Linked DNA regions of Lytechinus pictus. The protein of the gene in region 1 binds, or shares a complex with, the protein of each later gene. Links are inferred from orthologs where the notes say so. Each region holds a gene or a part of one and is shown on either strand. Other genes may lie near its edges.

The links. The genes of interacting proteins can lie anywhere in the genome.
Region 2: the proteins of myosin-VIIa-like (region 1) and harmonin-like are in contact, whole or in part, in a crystal structure (PDB 5MV9), measured with the Homo sapiens proteins. The link is inferred for Lytechinus pictus from reciprocal best matches to the Homo sapiens genes MYO7A and USH1C. Residues at the interface, in NP_000251.3 of Homo sapiens: Phe1946, Val1953, Ala1976, Lys1995, Lys1996, Trp1998, Gln2017, Pro2020, Lys2021, Arg2024, Tyr2026, Ser2112, Ala2113, Phe2114, Phe2115, Glu2116, Val2117, Lys2118, Ile2128, Ser2161, Gly2163, Asn2164, Thr2165, Tyr2166, His2168, Leu2181, Glu2183, Thr2184, Ser2185, Leu2186; in NP_001284693.1 of Homo sapiens: Glu450, Pro456, Ile457, Val461, Val462, Ser463, Tyr466, Glu467, Lys479, Gly480, Pro522, Tyr526, Asp527, Asp528, Glu529, Leu530, Thr531, Phe532, Phe533.

What each region holds. Positions count from the first base shown.
Region 1 is NC_087260.1:11,316,946-11,324,178, reverse strand, and holds the start of myosin-VIIa-like, read left to right. Parts: upstream 1-2,823; 5' UTR 2,824-3,270; exon of another isoform or gene 3,271-3,312; intron 3,313-7,233. UniProt on the Homo sapiens protein: Myosins are actin-based motor molecules with ATPase activity. Unconventional myosins serve in intracellular movements. Their highly divergent tails bind to membranous compartments, which are then moved relative to actin filaments.
Region 2 is NC_087253.1:25,238,053-25,245,285, forward strand, and holds the start of harmonin-like, read left to right. Parts: upstream 1-3,273; 5' UTR 3,274-3,515; coding exon 3,516-3,593; intron 3,594-4,773; coding exon 4,774-4,841; intron 4,842-7,233. UniProt on the Homo sapiens protein: Anchoring/scaffolding protein that is a part of the functional network formed by USH1C, USH1G, CDH23 and MYO7A that mediates mechanotransduction in cochlear hair cells. Required for normal development and maintenance of cochlear hair cell bundles.

The sequences.
Region 1 (7,233 bases):
GTGAATGGGAACAAATTATTTCAACGGAATTTGGCTTTGCTTGGCCAAATGGTGATGTATGAGGGAAATATTGTCTGAAAACATGATTTATAACAAAATATATCATATCCTATGTAATTTAGGTGATAAATACTGTATTTCAACATTCAAAATGGCTGCCATATGCCCTTTTTGTGAACATTATTTGTCTCCACTCATATTGTATATTATACGTTAAGGGCCTATGGTGGCCATTTTCAATTTTAAAATGCAGCATTTATCAACTTAATTACACATGATATGATATATCTCGGTAGAAACCATGGTTTTAGACAATATTTCACCCTTTCACAATTCACAATTATATGCAATATTTAGAGTCAAGCAAAGCCAAATTCTGTCAAAATTATATGTCCCATGTTACAATGTACACAATACTTTTAGGACCTATGGCAATCATTTTGGATTTCAAAGTACTGCATTTATTACCTCCACGACCAATATGTGATCTATTCACTTAGAAATCATATTTAAGACAATATTTTTACTCGTATATCACAGTTATATGCATTTTATGATTCTCACTCTTGTGAAAATTAGTTTCTCCTTTCGCATTGTACATGATAAATATAGGGCCTATGGCGGCCATTTTGAATGTCAAAATACAGCATTTATCACATAAATGGTATATTAATGGCAATGATGGCAATTATGCTTTTAGTCAGTATTCCACTCGTTTATCTTAATAATATGCATTTTAGTGCTCACTCTTGTCATTTTTTTGGACCCCGGTCATTGCCATTGTACATAATACTCTTGGGCCAGTGGGGGCTTTTAGATATCAAAATACAGCAATATCCCCATATATGACATAATAAATGATATATCTTGTTAGTAATGATGATTTGCATATATTACTTCGTTCATACATCACAATTTTTTTGCGGTTTAGTGCTCATTTTTGTGAAAATTAGTTTTCCCTATTCATATTGTACATAATAGAGTATACAAGGGCCTATGGCGGCCACTTTGAATATCAGAAAATAAATATTTTGTCAAAAATTATTTTTTTCAGAGAGTATTTCACTCCTGCTACACGATTTCATGCATTTCATAGCCAATGTGCGGACAATTTTAGGATTTTTATGGGTAATTTGCATATTTTGGCGGCCATATTTGATTTCGCCAATTTGCGGAAAATGCTCAAGGTTACACGAGTGGCATCATCCAGATTCGTAATCAGCACCCTCGAATTGACAAGAAACCATTAAAAAATATTGTATATATAAGAAAACAAGGTTTGGTCAAGTTTCTACGGGGCCTATCCTGGACTAATGTTTCTCAGCATAATAGTAAGCTTGAATTTATACAGTTTCAACTATTTCAGCAATTTTACATCTGGGCCCTGTTTCAAATAGACATGTTATAACAACAAATTCACCTGTAGTTTCTATTACAAATTTACTGTCATCAGTCAGCCAATCAAATTTCAGTATTTCAGTAGCTTTTGACTGTTATCGCAAATATGAAACAGGCCCATGATGCTTCAGTCTGGCAGCACATCAACTTAGTCTAATCATGTTTTGCATTCGATGATACGAGGCAGATATTATGAAGATGTTTAGAATGATGATCATCCTATCTGAGATAAATAAAAACTGTGCAAAGTTCACCCGGTGCAAAACTGCCTCGCCTCTTTCACAGTTTACTTCTAGTCTTGCACTTCAGACTCTGTTTTATTGTTGACTACTGCTTCGTCATTGAAATTCTTGTTTTGGTCCGTAAAATATACTTCAGAATTTCAGGATCAATGCAAAATGTTTTATCCTTAGTGATTTCATTAAGTTACATTTATTTCCTTCCTTCATAAGCGTCTATCAAATTTGCAAACTATAATCATTTGTAAGTTTTCGCTTTAAATATCCTAATCATGGGAAAAATAATTTTCAAGCCAGAAAAATCACAAGAATATCATTTCCTCCCTCCCTACAGGTGTATGCATTATTTTCATATATTAAACTTTAGAATGACTCTGGAAGTCACCTTTATTGCCCATGACCCAGTAATATTTGTTAAGTTTTAAAGTTGAACAATAAAAAGAATCTTATCAACTTTAACTTAAGTCAGCATTTGTTTTATATAACTTACTTCCAATTCTCAGTTTTGAAGCTATAATTATTTCAGTGGCATACTACATGTACTTGTTATAACATTTCGTATCGAGTGTTAACAAGTTGAATGTGTCTTATCTTAGGGAGATGTAGACTTACTATACATATATCTATTATCTCACACTCCAAGTCTGAAAAAAAATTGTTTTGAACTTGGCTTTTATATATTTATGCCCTAATGTTTTAATATGTTTTCAAGCAAGGGTGGGCCCTGGATTTATTTAATAGGGTACTTCCATTTTGTGTGGGATTAAAAAAAAAAAAGAACAAAAAAGGTTCTTGTTGGCAAGAACTTGTGTCATCGTCACCTCTCCCATAAAGATTACAAGCAAAAATGATAGAATAAAAAGAGAAATCAAGTCCATTGTTGTTTGTCTCCCAGATCGACACTCAGGGCACATTATGCTAACCGATACTTTTATCTAAAGTTCCAAAAAAAAAAGAATTCATAACAACTTTATTGTTAACAACTTAACATTAGTGGATGGAGATGAGTTTAACGATATAAACTTTACAACCATTTGGATGATAATTATATAATAACATGACGGTCTGATTCCGGAGACTATTCTCGCCCTATGCCCACTGAACTGTGTCCCTTGTGTAGTGAGTCACATATATTTGTGTTGAGCTCTCCTATTGTCATATAGGTATGCCGCCTATTGTTCCCCTCACCCTCGCTCTTATTACGCATACACCCCTGTTCTTGGTTGTGTGCCCAGCCCAAAGCTTGGGCAGCACCCCTCAGAGTACATACCAAGTGTGCTCGCTCCAATGGCAATGCATGAAATACATGAACCTTCTACCACTAAACCAAAGGGGGGAAGCCGGGGAGTATCGTGCGCTGCAATATAGGAGGATCCATTCTTGCATAGAATAGAACTATTGTGTATTCTTTGAGAACTTAGCCATAGTGGTCCAGCTGCATGTTTTCTTAGTGGTGTGTGTGTGTCTATCTCTGTATTAAGAAAGAGAGAGATTTGTTCAGTCAGTTCAGCACTGCCACATTGGCAAAAGACCGACACCGACAACAACTAACCGGCTGGTATTGAACTTTAAGCGGAAGGGGGAGTGTTTGTTAATTTGGTCATCGGAGAGAGATAACATCGGATTTAATTACGTGAGTGACTGGGCTACTGGGCTTAATTGACCACCTTTAATGGCAAGTAATAACTCTAAGTGGGTTGATGATTGTCAATGTTTAGTTTACCTTTTAGTGTATTGTTGTTAATACTTATTTTGAGTAAATTGGAAAAGATAAATTGGAAAAGATAGCTTGGTGATACATATAGCTACAGAGGTTGTATGTATAGTAAAAGTAGAGATCAGAGTTTTAAGCAGAAATAATGAAAATATTGGCCATCTGGAAACAGGTACCTTCTCCGTTTTCTTTCATTATAGCATATAATTGATTAATCTATTCTGTTAAATTAAGTACTACTACTACTACAGATATTGTAAATAATTATGTACATGTAATGAAACAACATGCATTTTTGTAATTTCCCATCAAAGTTTACTGTGTTATCACCTGGTAATATTATTCATGAAAAAAAGACATTCCACTCAAATTCTATCACATTTTAGTATTTTACCACAGTAGACATTACAATACAAAGTATTTATATTCAATTGCACAGGTATTTGATTTTTAAACTTAGTATTTAAACAAAATACTTTGATCTTCACTTTTCAAGTTTTTTATCAGTGATAAGAATTAAGTTTTAAATGCGTTCCTACCAGGGATATAATGTACTTTCAACGTATAAGTGAATCAGAACATTCATGATGTATTTATGGATGTAATATACTTTTGATACATTTCCCATTTGGTATAGCATAATATATTCATATATAAAGTTATAAATTTATTTATTTAGAGGGTGGTATGTGTGGTTTTACCACTATCTAAAGTAAACTAAACAAACTTCACTGAACTCTTTGATCAGTACAATCTTCATCGCATCGTTCATATGCAAACAAATTCACCATTAATTGGCATATTCTGTATAATGTGTTAGTTATGTGTTCTAAGTTCAGAAGGGTAATTGTATCTCATTTCATGCTGAGAAATTCAAGGAATTGATCAATCTTGCCTTGTCTTGCTTTTCTGCTGATGCCCAGTATTTGATAAAAATTTATGTCACATTTGAAAATTGACCTGCAAATTTTTCTATGATATCCTACTGGACTGTTGAAACTCTTTTTTTCCCTTCTGGCATAATAAAAAGAATACTTTCCAAGGTTTTATCATGAGTGTGTGAAGAATTTTGATATTGATATAGCCTTTTTTTGTTCATCATGATTTAAAAAGAATACAATCAACAAGGCAAATAGCTGTAATTTCAAAAACTTCTGCACACTACCCCAAAATGTTTGCCATGTTCATTCATATTTTCCCCTCAAAAGCTCCCTTTTTATCGTTTCCTCTCTTCTTGGTTCACTTTCATAATGAACCAAAGAACCAAATGTTGCATTTTAGTCACTGTACATGTCAAAGTTTATTGTATAGGCCTATTATAATTGATATGCCAACATTTTCCAGAGGACTGACAGCCTAGCAGATACAAAATTGTTAGTTTAATGAGCACTACAAAATAAGAATATTGGAAACCAATTGTTTAGTATTTGCAACTGTACGGTATAATAATTGACCGACACTTGGTTTTAGGGAAAATGAACTTATTGCTGCTAACGTTTGGACTGCCCCCATAGCGATTTAGGATATATGATTCTCTTTTGCAGGCAATTATTTGATAATTATTTGATGTTCCTGTCAAGACCAGTTAATTTCATATCTAGATATTTCAATATCACTATTACATTTGTACATTTCCGTTTGTACCAGTGTACAGTAGCAACACAGATAATTAAAAATCTAATTATCTTACCGTACGTGTTTGTCTCGTACATGTATATCTGATTAAGTCATTATTATTGTGTTATTATTGCTTTATTAGTCCCATGTGAACAAGGTGTCAAATTTGTTTTTATTACAGATCTACCTTGCAATCCAACAAGTACAAAATGTACAATACATTTATTTTTAAAAGAATGAATATGCAGAGCTGCCAAGTAGTACGTTATTTATTTTTTTTACAAAATAAAAATTTATTGAGAAAAATCATCTCTATATGTCTCTATTTCATAAAACGTACACAAATATGGTTATTAGATCAATGTAATTTCAGGTAACTTCTTTTTTTTTTTTCAATCATTTTGTAAAAACCAGGGTGAGATATACACAAGTTTCAATGTTTTTTTTTTTCATCTGCAAGAGCAGTGCACATTTTAGCTTGCATGCAGCTTGAGCGCCGTGATGGGCGAGTGCGCCAAGCATTTTATTATGAAATACACTTTTGGGGGGAAAAATACAAAATATTTATCTCACACGGTAAATTTTTTTGTCAAAATTTTGTCAAATTTTTTTGTCAAAATACTGATTTTGGGGGATAAGAATAATGAAAATGCAAAATACAACTTGGCAGCTCTGAATATGTGTAGGCCTACTTTATTATGTCCAATATTTCTTTTTTCCACATCTATGCATGGCCATTTTATTTGAGTATAATAAAATCCCACAGGAATTGGTAGTTTCTTCTGGGGACTGAAAACAATATGGCCCGTATTCTGAACTCGGGTTTATTAAAACTGAACCCTGGTTTAAAGTTGTGGTTTAAGTATGGAGAGCCAAATGGGGCAAAAATCCCTAACAGTACACATTCAATTTATGAACTTATTGGACACTCAAATTATTCATAATTGTCTGGGAATGATAATTGAAATATTTTTCTTCATTATGAAAGCAAAAGGAAAAACAATTCAAATTCATATGACTTTGTTCTTCTAATTTCTTTTTGCTATATTTACAATAACTTTTGTATTGCAATACAATGATATTTCAACTATTATACATGAATATAACTAAGGTGAAAGTACCTTAAGAAATTAATATTTTAGTCATTAGATTACAGTGATATAACTTTCATTCAAGCTCCACATATGTTTTCAGTATTGCATAATAAACAAAATCATTTTCATCTAAAAACAAACTTCTATTTCTTTGTAGAGAACAAAGTACAAAATATAACAGTTTTTTTCGCAAAGAACTGGGAAGTTATCCCCTCAACATGACATGGCTATTTCCATGAATAAAAGCTAATTGTTTACTCAAGAAAAGAGGACAGCCCATCTAGTTTATATATCAAACAAAATCGTAGACCTTTGAGCTTTCAAAGTACATGAATATGGTGGATAAAAAATGCAATGAATTGAATGGATAGCCGTTATAATGGATTGAATGAATATTAATTACTTTAGATATACTCATTCTCTTTGTACAATTCTAGAATTTCTTTCTTGAAACATTTGTCAGAATTTGTGACAGAAATAACACACACAGTTTCATTAGTTGTACAGTACACACACTGTAAGTACTAAGGACCTTAAATTTATTACTGTTTTTGTCTTTTTATGGGTGTTATTACATATGTACAGTATGTGGAAAAGTTATGAATCGGCTGAGTAAATTATTGAAAAGATTTTGTAATATGACTCACAATGTACTTCCTTCTATTTTAACCCCCATCCCCCAAGAATTATTCAATTATTCATCCTGGTCATCCTAAAAATAATTCTTTTTGAATAATTGGAAATCAGTGAATATTTTTCATATTATAATGTACTTATGAGAAAATGTTCAGTTTAAAGGGGAAGTTCAACCTGGCATCACAAATCAAGAATTTAAAATTCTGATAACTTTGATGAATTTTCCTCAAACCTTTACCAATAGTTATTTTTATTTTTTTCTGGTATTCTTGCAACAAACCTTTCGTCAGGGTGAACTTCCCCTTTAAATCTAGTCTTTGTAAATGACACAAACTTGTGCACTTCTTACATGTACCTTCATTCAAACCAAAGGGATCACTCAACTTTACTCAGGAGCTATTTATTTCTTCTTCGACTCTGCAAACCTTTACACTGACAGGAATCACCTGAGATGTTTTAAAAAGCTCCTCTAATCACATCATAAAGGTTAATTGCTGTGATAACGATGACTACAATCGTAAGCATCCATTTGGAT
Region 2 (7,233 bases), on another chromosome or scaffold:
CACTTGCCCTCCCCCTCTTTTAAGGACAAAAATGATGTCCCTCCCTTTCATCATTCTATCATAACTTGACTCTTTACCTATTATCATCATTTATTTCCCCCCTGACATTAGTTATAATATTACGTCTCCATGACAAAATCAAACAGCTGGCAGGGTTCCCTAAAGATTAGCCTTAGAAAGATGAAAGCGCACGCATTATTTCGAGAGAGCTATGTTGATGGTTATAAGAGGAGCGACATGTGCAGAATCATAATTCTCCTCGTACGCCCAACAAAAAGGACTTCGCACTTTGAACTCTCCGGTAGGGGGGACACCTGTGCCAGAAATCTACAAATATCATTCCACGTCAGTTAAATGCAATATATCACCGACCGTTTGAGTTGTATGATATCAATAGCCGTATTTACACGGGAGACATTGTTCTCATTCAGATCAATTCATTCGGAAACGTAAAGCTGTTGTATTCACAAAAGAGAACAATTCGGAATATAGATAATTTTACAATGGACCACGCAGTGACTCAGGACTTCAATAATAGGGTAAGAAACTTCAAATACGGTTTGTTAAAAAATAAGCATATTATTCATTCTTTTACTGGAAAAAATAATTTTAGTAATCATGCTTTGGATTGATACTAAATTTATGTAGAAGTTTGATACCAAATCATGTACGTTGTTTTAGCAATCTCGTCTCATGACGCATAAACAAAATTTCGATTGAAAATTGAAAATGTTCATTTATATTCAACAATGAATGATTTTATAATTAGTGCATGTCCCGTGCCCCCTTTTGAGAACCATAAATATATTTGTTAGTGCAAAACGTGCATGCGCAAGTCAAGTGAGGACTGCGTTTTGCTTGTCAAATTTTTCGTGACATAAATCACCATAATTAGGAAATGAAGACCTTCTTGGGGCAGGTTTTTTTTTTCTATATAAAAAAGCCCCCCTTTTCAAAAATTCTAGATCCGCCCCTGGTGGTTGGTTATATTTTCAAACACTAGCTTTCTTATTTCGTACAATTTTTTTTTTCATGGTATGCACTTTTATGGGCCGTCATGCTCTAATTAGCAAAAAGTATCTGAAAAATATAAAACAAAGAAAATGAAATAAGTAAGGTGTGATTTAATTCAAATTGATGCTTTCATCATGAGGTTTTAGTGATATATAGGCCTCTTTCCATATACTTTTATTATATTTCATTAGAGGCATTTGCATTTGAGACACGAGAAACAAAGTAGGCTTGTAATGGTAAAACTCGTCATTTTCCGATCAATATTTTTTGTGGAATTTTGACTCAATTATGGCGACAACGGTTGCTGTGTTTTTATTGATTTTTTTATAGCCCATAGTGTTATTCATATAATGTTATTCATATAAACATAAAAGATCACTCAGTTATCAAATAAATATTAAATTACATAAGAGCTAGGGAACGTGCAAGTTTGTTTGATAAAAATAACGTCAAGAATATAATTGTAACATTTCCATTTCCTTTCCATCAGTTCTATTTTATACTGCTTTTCTTTAAAATGTCAATTGTTAGTTTGCATCTGATTTATATTACCCTGTATTGTGTTTGAATGGCAATGAAATAATGAATTGAACTGGATATTATATAAGAAAAAGGATTCAGGAAAGACAACGTCCATGATAAAAAAAAACATGCTGTACAAAGTCTTTATGATATCCGTCTGGTCTTATTCATGCACATTCTTATTTCTGCTCCAACTTCTACAGCTGGCTTGGTCTAACATACACAACAAAGACTGTCGTGTTAACCGGTGTACATAGAGGACCATACCAGTTATTTTTCACCGGTGTTAAATTGACAGTGTTACAACACCTTTGGTTGTCACATCAACACCCTTTGGTGTTATGTTCAATCCCTAGGGTGTAATTTTAACACCTCAGGGTGTGGTCCTCTATTAACACCAACTGGTGTCAGTTTTAACACCTCAGTTTTTACAGTGTACCATTTATGGCATATTTATCATTTTTTTAATGGTTAACCATTGTTGCTAAAACAAAATTGTATACCAAAACTGGCGGATTCATTTTTTCTTACAGGGAGGGGCCTAAACAGAGGCCTATTTTTTCTTCAAAGATTTCAATATAGGTCTCCATAATGCGAACTTCCCGTCCGATGTTATTTTGACAAGCAAAATATAAAAAAAATAAGGGGTTATTACTCTAATACCCCTCTCCTTGAAGCCAGTGGGGTCCAGTGTTTTTGCATGATTTTCAGGGGGGGGGGGTTCTTTGTAAAAAAAAACGCCATTCTGGAATCCTTCCCCCGGCTGTACATTATATAATTGAAAATGACTGTAAACTGAACAGCGTGACATGACTTTTAAAGGAGAAATATATTGAAAATCGTAAAAATGGAGAATCATATATCAAATCAAAGGAGAAAATAAGGAGAACACGATGGTGTACATCATTTATCATAGAGACCGATGGAACTCAGTTAATTGATAGTTTAAAGTTCTCTCTCTAAATGCTTCAAACACGCAGAATTACGTCCGCGAAATTGGGGATTTTTTATGACGTCACTTTCTGTACGAGAGGCGTGTTTGGCTCTCCCACGTGAAGCTCCACTTGCATGCAAAACCTGTTGCGAGGGTACGTTTTCTCCACATTGTCACTGAATACTTCGATCACGAAATGAAAGAAAACCCAGAATTTTATCTAGATTTGGATTTTCAAATTGATGATTTTGAAGATGAAGAGAATGATGATGAAGTGAACAACAAAGTGACGTAGTTGGGGGTAAATTGGGGGAATCGATGATGAGGAGTCGGACAATTCAACTTGCAACACGATCACATGCCGATTCGCTACCAACTCATGCAGCTGCTAAGTGCTAGCTACACCGCGCGTGCCAAATTGAATTCACGAAAATGACTTGCCACACTGTCCAGACAGAGTCTCTTACTTCTGTGACTATGAAGAAGGAAAATAATGATTAAAACTGTACTTACAAATAAGTGAATGTAATCCGAACCTGAAGGCAAATCAACTCAACGAATAGCAGCAGACGATATGCACCGATGATAAAATTCATGTGGCTGGGATAGATTGTCACTCGTTCTGTTAGATGTAATTTTTATCTCATTAATTTGACAAAATTACGAAACTCGGGGAATTATTTATCTATATAAAAATATAGTAACATCTCGTATAATTTTTAAATTACGATAAAACGTTTTTTGAAGGAAAACATTGAGGTAAATTAAAATTAGATGTAAAAGATCCCCAACATGCGTAGCTTGATTGAGAGCTGTGCAACACGTGCATAGATCTACTCTCTCAGCCACGGCGAGCAAGCAATACGGCATGTTTGTGATTTTGAATACGATCACATATACGAGCTTTTAAAAGGTTTTATCGTAATTTAAAAAATAATACGAGATGTTACTATATTTTTATATAGATAAATAATTCCCCGAGTTTCGTAATTTTGTCAAATTAATGAGATAAAAATTACATCTAGTGACAATCTATCCCAGCCACATGAAGTTTATCGTCGGTGCATATCGTCTGCTGCTATTCGTTGAGTTGCCTTCAGGTTCGGATTACATTCACTTGTTTGTAAGTACAGTTTTATCATTATTTTCCTTCTTCATAGTCACAGAGGTAAGAGACTCTGTCTGGACAGTGTGGTAATTCATTTTCATGAATTCAATTTGGCCCGCGCGGTGTAGCTAGCACTTAGCAGCTGCATGAGTTAGGTAGCGAATCGGCATGTGATCATGTTGCAAGTTGAATTGTCCGACTCATCATCATCGGCGTAATTCCCCCAATTTACCTCCAACTACGTCACTTTGTTGTTCATTTCATCATCATTCTCTTCATCTTCAAAATCATCAATTTGAAAATCCAAATCTAGATAAAATTCTGGGTTTTCTTTCATTTCGTGATCGAAGTATTCAGTGACAGTGTGGAGAAACCGTACCCTCGCAACAGGTTTTGCATGCAAGTGGAGCTTCACGTGGGAGAGCCAATCACGCATCTCGTACAGAAAGTGACGTCATCAAATTCAAGTCAATTCAGAGACCGATGCGAGGCATATTTCGGAGAGGCATTTTGAGCGTTTTTTAATCGGCGATTTTCACCTTATGTATTATTTTCGTTATTTTTGAATGACCCACTGATAATCCCCACATCATTACCTTTCCATTGACATATAATAAGACCACATTCATAATCAATATAGTTCTCCTTTAAGTTTAGACAGCTCATCAGTATTTAGGATAATACTAATCGAATTAATAACAAATTAGTGATGAGTCATCACTAATTTGTTATTAATTCGATTAGTATTATCCTAAATACAAATATACTTTCGCATTGTTTGTCATTGTACTTCTAAGCGAAGGTAATGTAAATTTGATGATAAGCGGAGCACGTTGGCCTGAAAGTACTTTAAAAATGTCATTCCTTAGACGATTTTGATTATTTTCAGTGCTTTGTTTGTCCGATTTTACTTTATCTGTTCAAATAATGTCATTTTTTACTATTACTACTACTACTACTACTACTACTACTACTACTACTACTACTACTACTACTACTACTACTACTATACTACTACTAGTACTACTAGTACTACTACTACTACTACTACTACTACTACTACTGCTACTACTACTACTTCTACTACTACTTTATAATTAATTGAATCGTGATACTTTTTCTTTGTTTGAACATAAATTTGTTTTATGTCAGTGGTTTAATTATGTTTTCAATCCATCTCTCTCTATCCACCCAGGTGAGGGCTACTCTTGAGTACGAGAAAGACCAGGCCCAGCTTTACTCACAACTAAAAAAATACAAGCAGTAAGTATTTTTAAAGGCCACTGAAATTGTTCCGGGAGGGGCAGGACGCGTACAATTTTTCGAAGAAACTCGAAAGCGAAGGAACGAAGCGACCAAGCTATTTATTGGGGCGCTTTGCATTTTTAAAGGTGAAAAATTAAGGATTTTGTACACAGTTTTGGTGGATTTTGCGAAAGTTTGAAGTAAAAAAATGTAGATTTTCAAAACTTCTGGGGGCAGCTACCCCCGCCGCCCCCGTTGCCTAAGACCATGTTCTTGCACCCCTCGCTGCCTTGGTTCACCCCCTTTTTCTCCTTACTGGTCCCTCAATCTCACGACTTCACAAACAGTTGACTACCCCCCCCCCCCCCTACAAAACAAATCAATAAATCAATAAAAAATGTTTTAAGATCAAAAAATTAATTTCCCTTTTTTTGAATCTTTGAAAGCGACTATTTCGAATTTAATTTGGAAAAGAGGTATACTTTGATCGGGGGTCTGGGGCCCATTTGATTAAGACTTATTATCATAACAAATGCAAAATTGCTATAGGCTAACAAGTTTGCCAATCACATTGAATGATTTGAGTAGCTAAAAATATTACTGCAAATAATTGTTATGAATTAAGTTTTATGAAACGGGCCTCTCAAACAGGTTCGTCGGTAAAAGGAGTTATCGTTTTCTCGCCATATGGGGAGAATATAGGGTCTATGTCGTTCATATTACCATAGTTCTATATAAAACAAAACAAATAAATAAATATCACGATATCGTCACAAATGTCATGCTAAATCTAAGATGATCACCAACTGTCGAGAAAAGGAATTTAAAGTAAGGTTGGTGAAAGATGAATCTATTAGGATTCAGGCAGTTTATATCGTCGATGATAGCTTCAAGCCGAAAAGCAGTCGTGCTAAAAACACAATAATTATTATGGGATAATGTATTTCAGATATAAAAGTTCAATGTGCAAAGTTTGAAGTGCGTCTGTTCTCTCTCGTAATTGCTTTTCTAAAATCTGTTTAACGTCGTCATCTAAAAGGGAACATTCATCTAAAGTGAGCCGTTTGTGGAGGTCATTGTGGAGAAAGGACATGCTTATTAAGAGAACAATACGGAATATATGAAATGACATCTCATTAATTCCATTGAGCATTTATGACTCGTTTTCAGAATGTACAAAATTCAGCTTCGTTAACCATGCCTTAACAAAGTAATATGATTTGGAACAAAAACGAAATAAGTTTTGACTGCTTGTGAGCCTTTAACAACATTTTTGCTCAGTCGACACTTTGATCGCCTTATCTAGTCTGATTTTATCTTATTCAACCTTATCTTATCTTATTTTGTCGCATATTTTTTTCTTCTTATATCATCTAACTTTTCTTGCCTTGTCTTATCTGATCTTATCTTATCTATCTTATCTAACCTAACTTATCTTGTCTTGTCTTATCTTATCTTTATATTATCTTATACGTTACACTATCTTACTCTAGGTGGTTTCAGACCGCCTCGAAGTTCGCCAGTTCCAGGTATTCTCTGATCGGGAAATTTACCCCGATCAGAAAATACCAGGTATTTTGGCGGTGTGAAAGCAAACTACGCGTAATATCCCCGAAAGAAAATACCCGATAAATAGTAGGTACTTGGCGAAATTACGAGAACTTTCGCGGGGATTTTTCCAAGGTCGTGGGTATTTTGGCGGTCTGAAAGCAAATTACGGGAACTTTTAGCCCAGCGTGTCGTTAGGTGCGGCGCCGTGCATGGGTTGCTGCTGGGCTAGTGATTTTGAATTTCGCGCCTTGCTGCTTATCAGACCATACTGCGCATGCTCGTAACTTCAGGAACTTATCCCGAAGGGTATGTTTCAGGGCGGTGTGAATGCAGGAATAATTAATGGGTATTTTTCAGCTTAAAAAAGTTCTCGTAATTTAACGGGGATTCTATGAGGCGCCGAATGTACCAATATTATATAGAACAATTATTTGTTATATAATCATTATTTATTAAATAATAACTATTATTTATATATAATTTACATTTTATTTGTAAATAACTACTATTATATAAAATATCATTTCTAATTATTTATATATAATTCCAAGTAATACTTCATTATTTGTAAATAATAATAGTTCGACATTCCATTATTTATAAATAATGATTATTTGTTTTTCATTATTTATAAATAATGATTATTTGTTTTTCATTATTTATAAATAATGATTATTTGTTTTTCATTATTTACAAATAATGATTGTTTGTTTTTCATTATTTATAAATAATGATTATTGGTTTTTCATTATTTATAAATAATGATTATTTGTTTTTCATTATTTACAAATAATGATTATTTGTTTTTCATTATTTATAAATAATGATTATTTGTTTTTCATTATTTATAAATAATTTG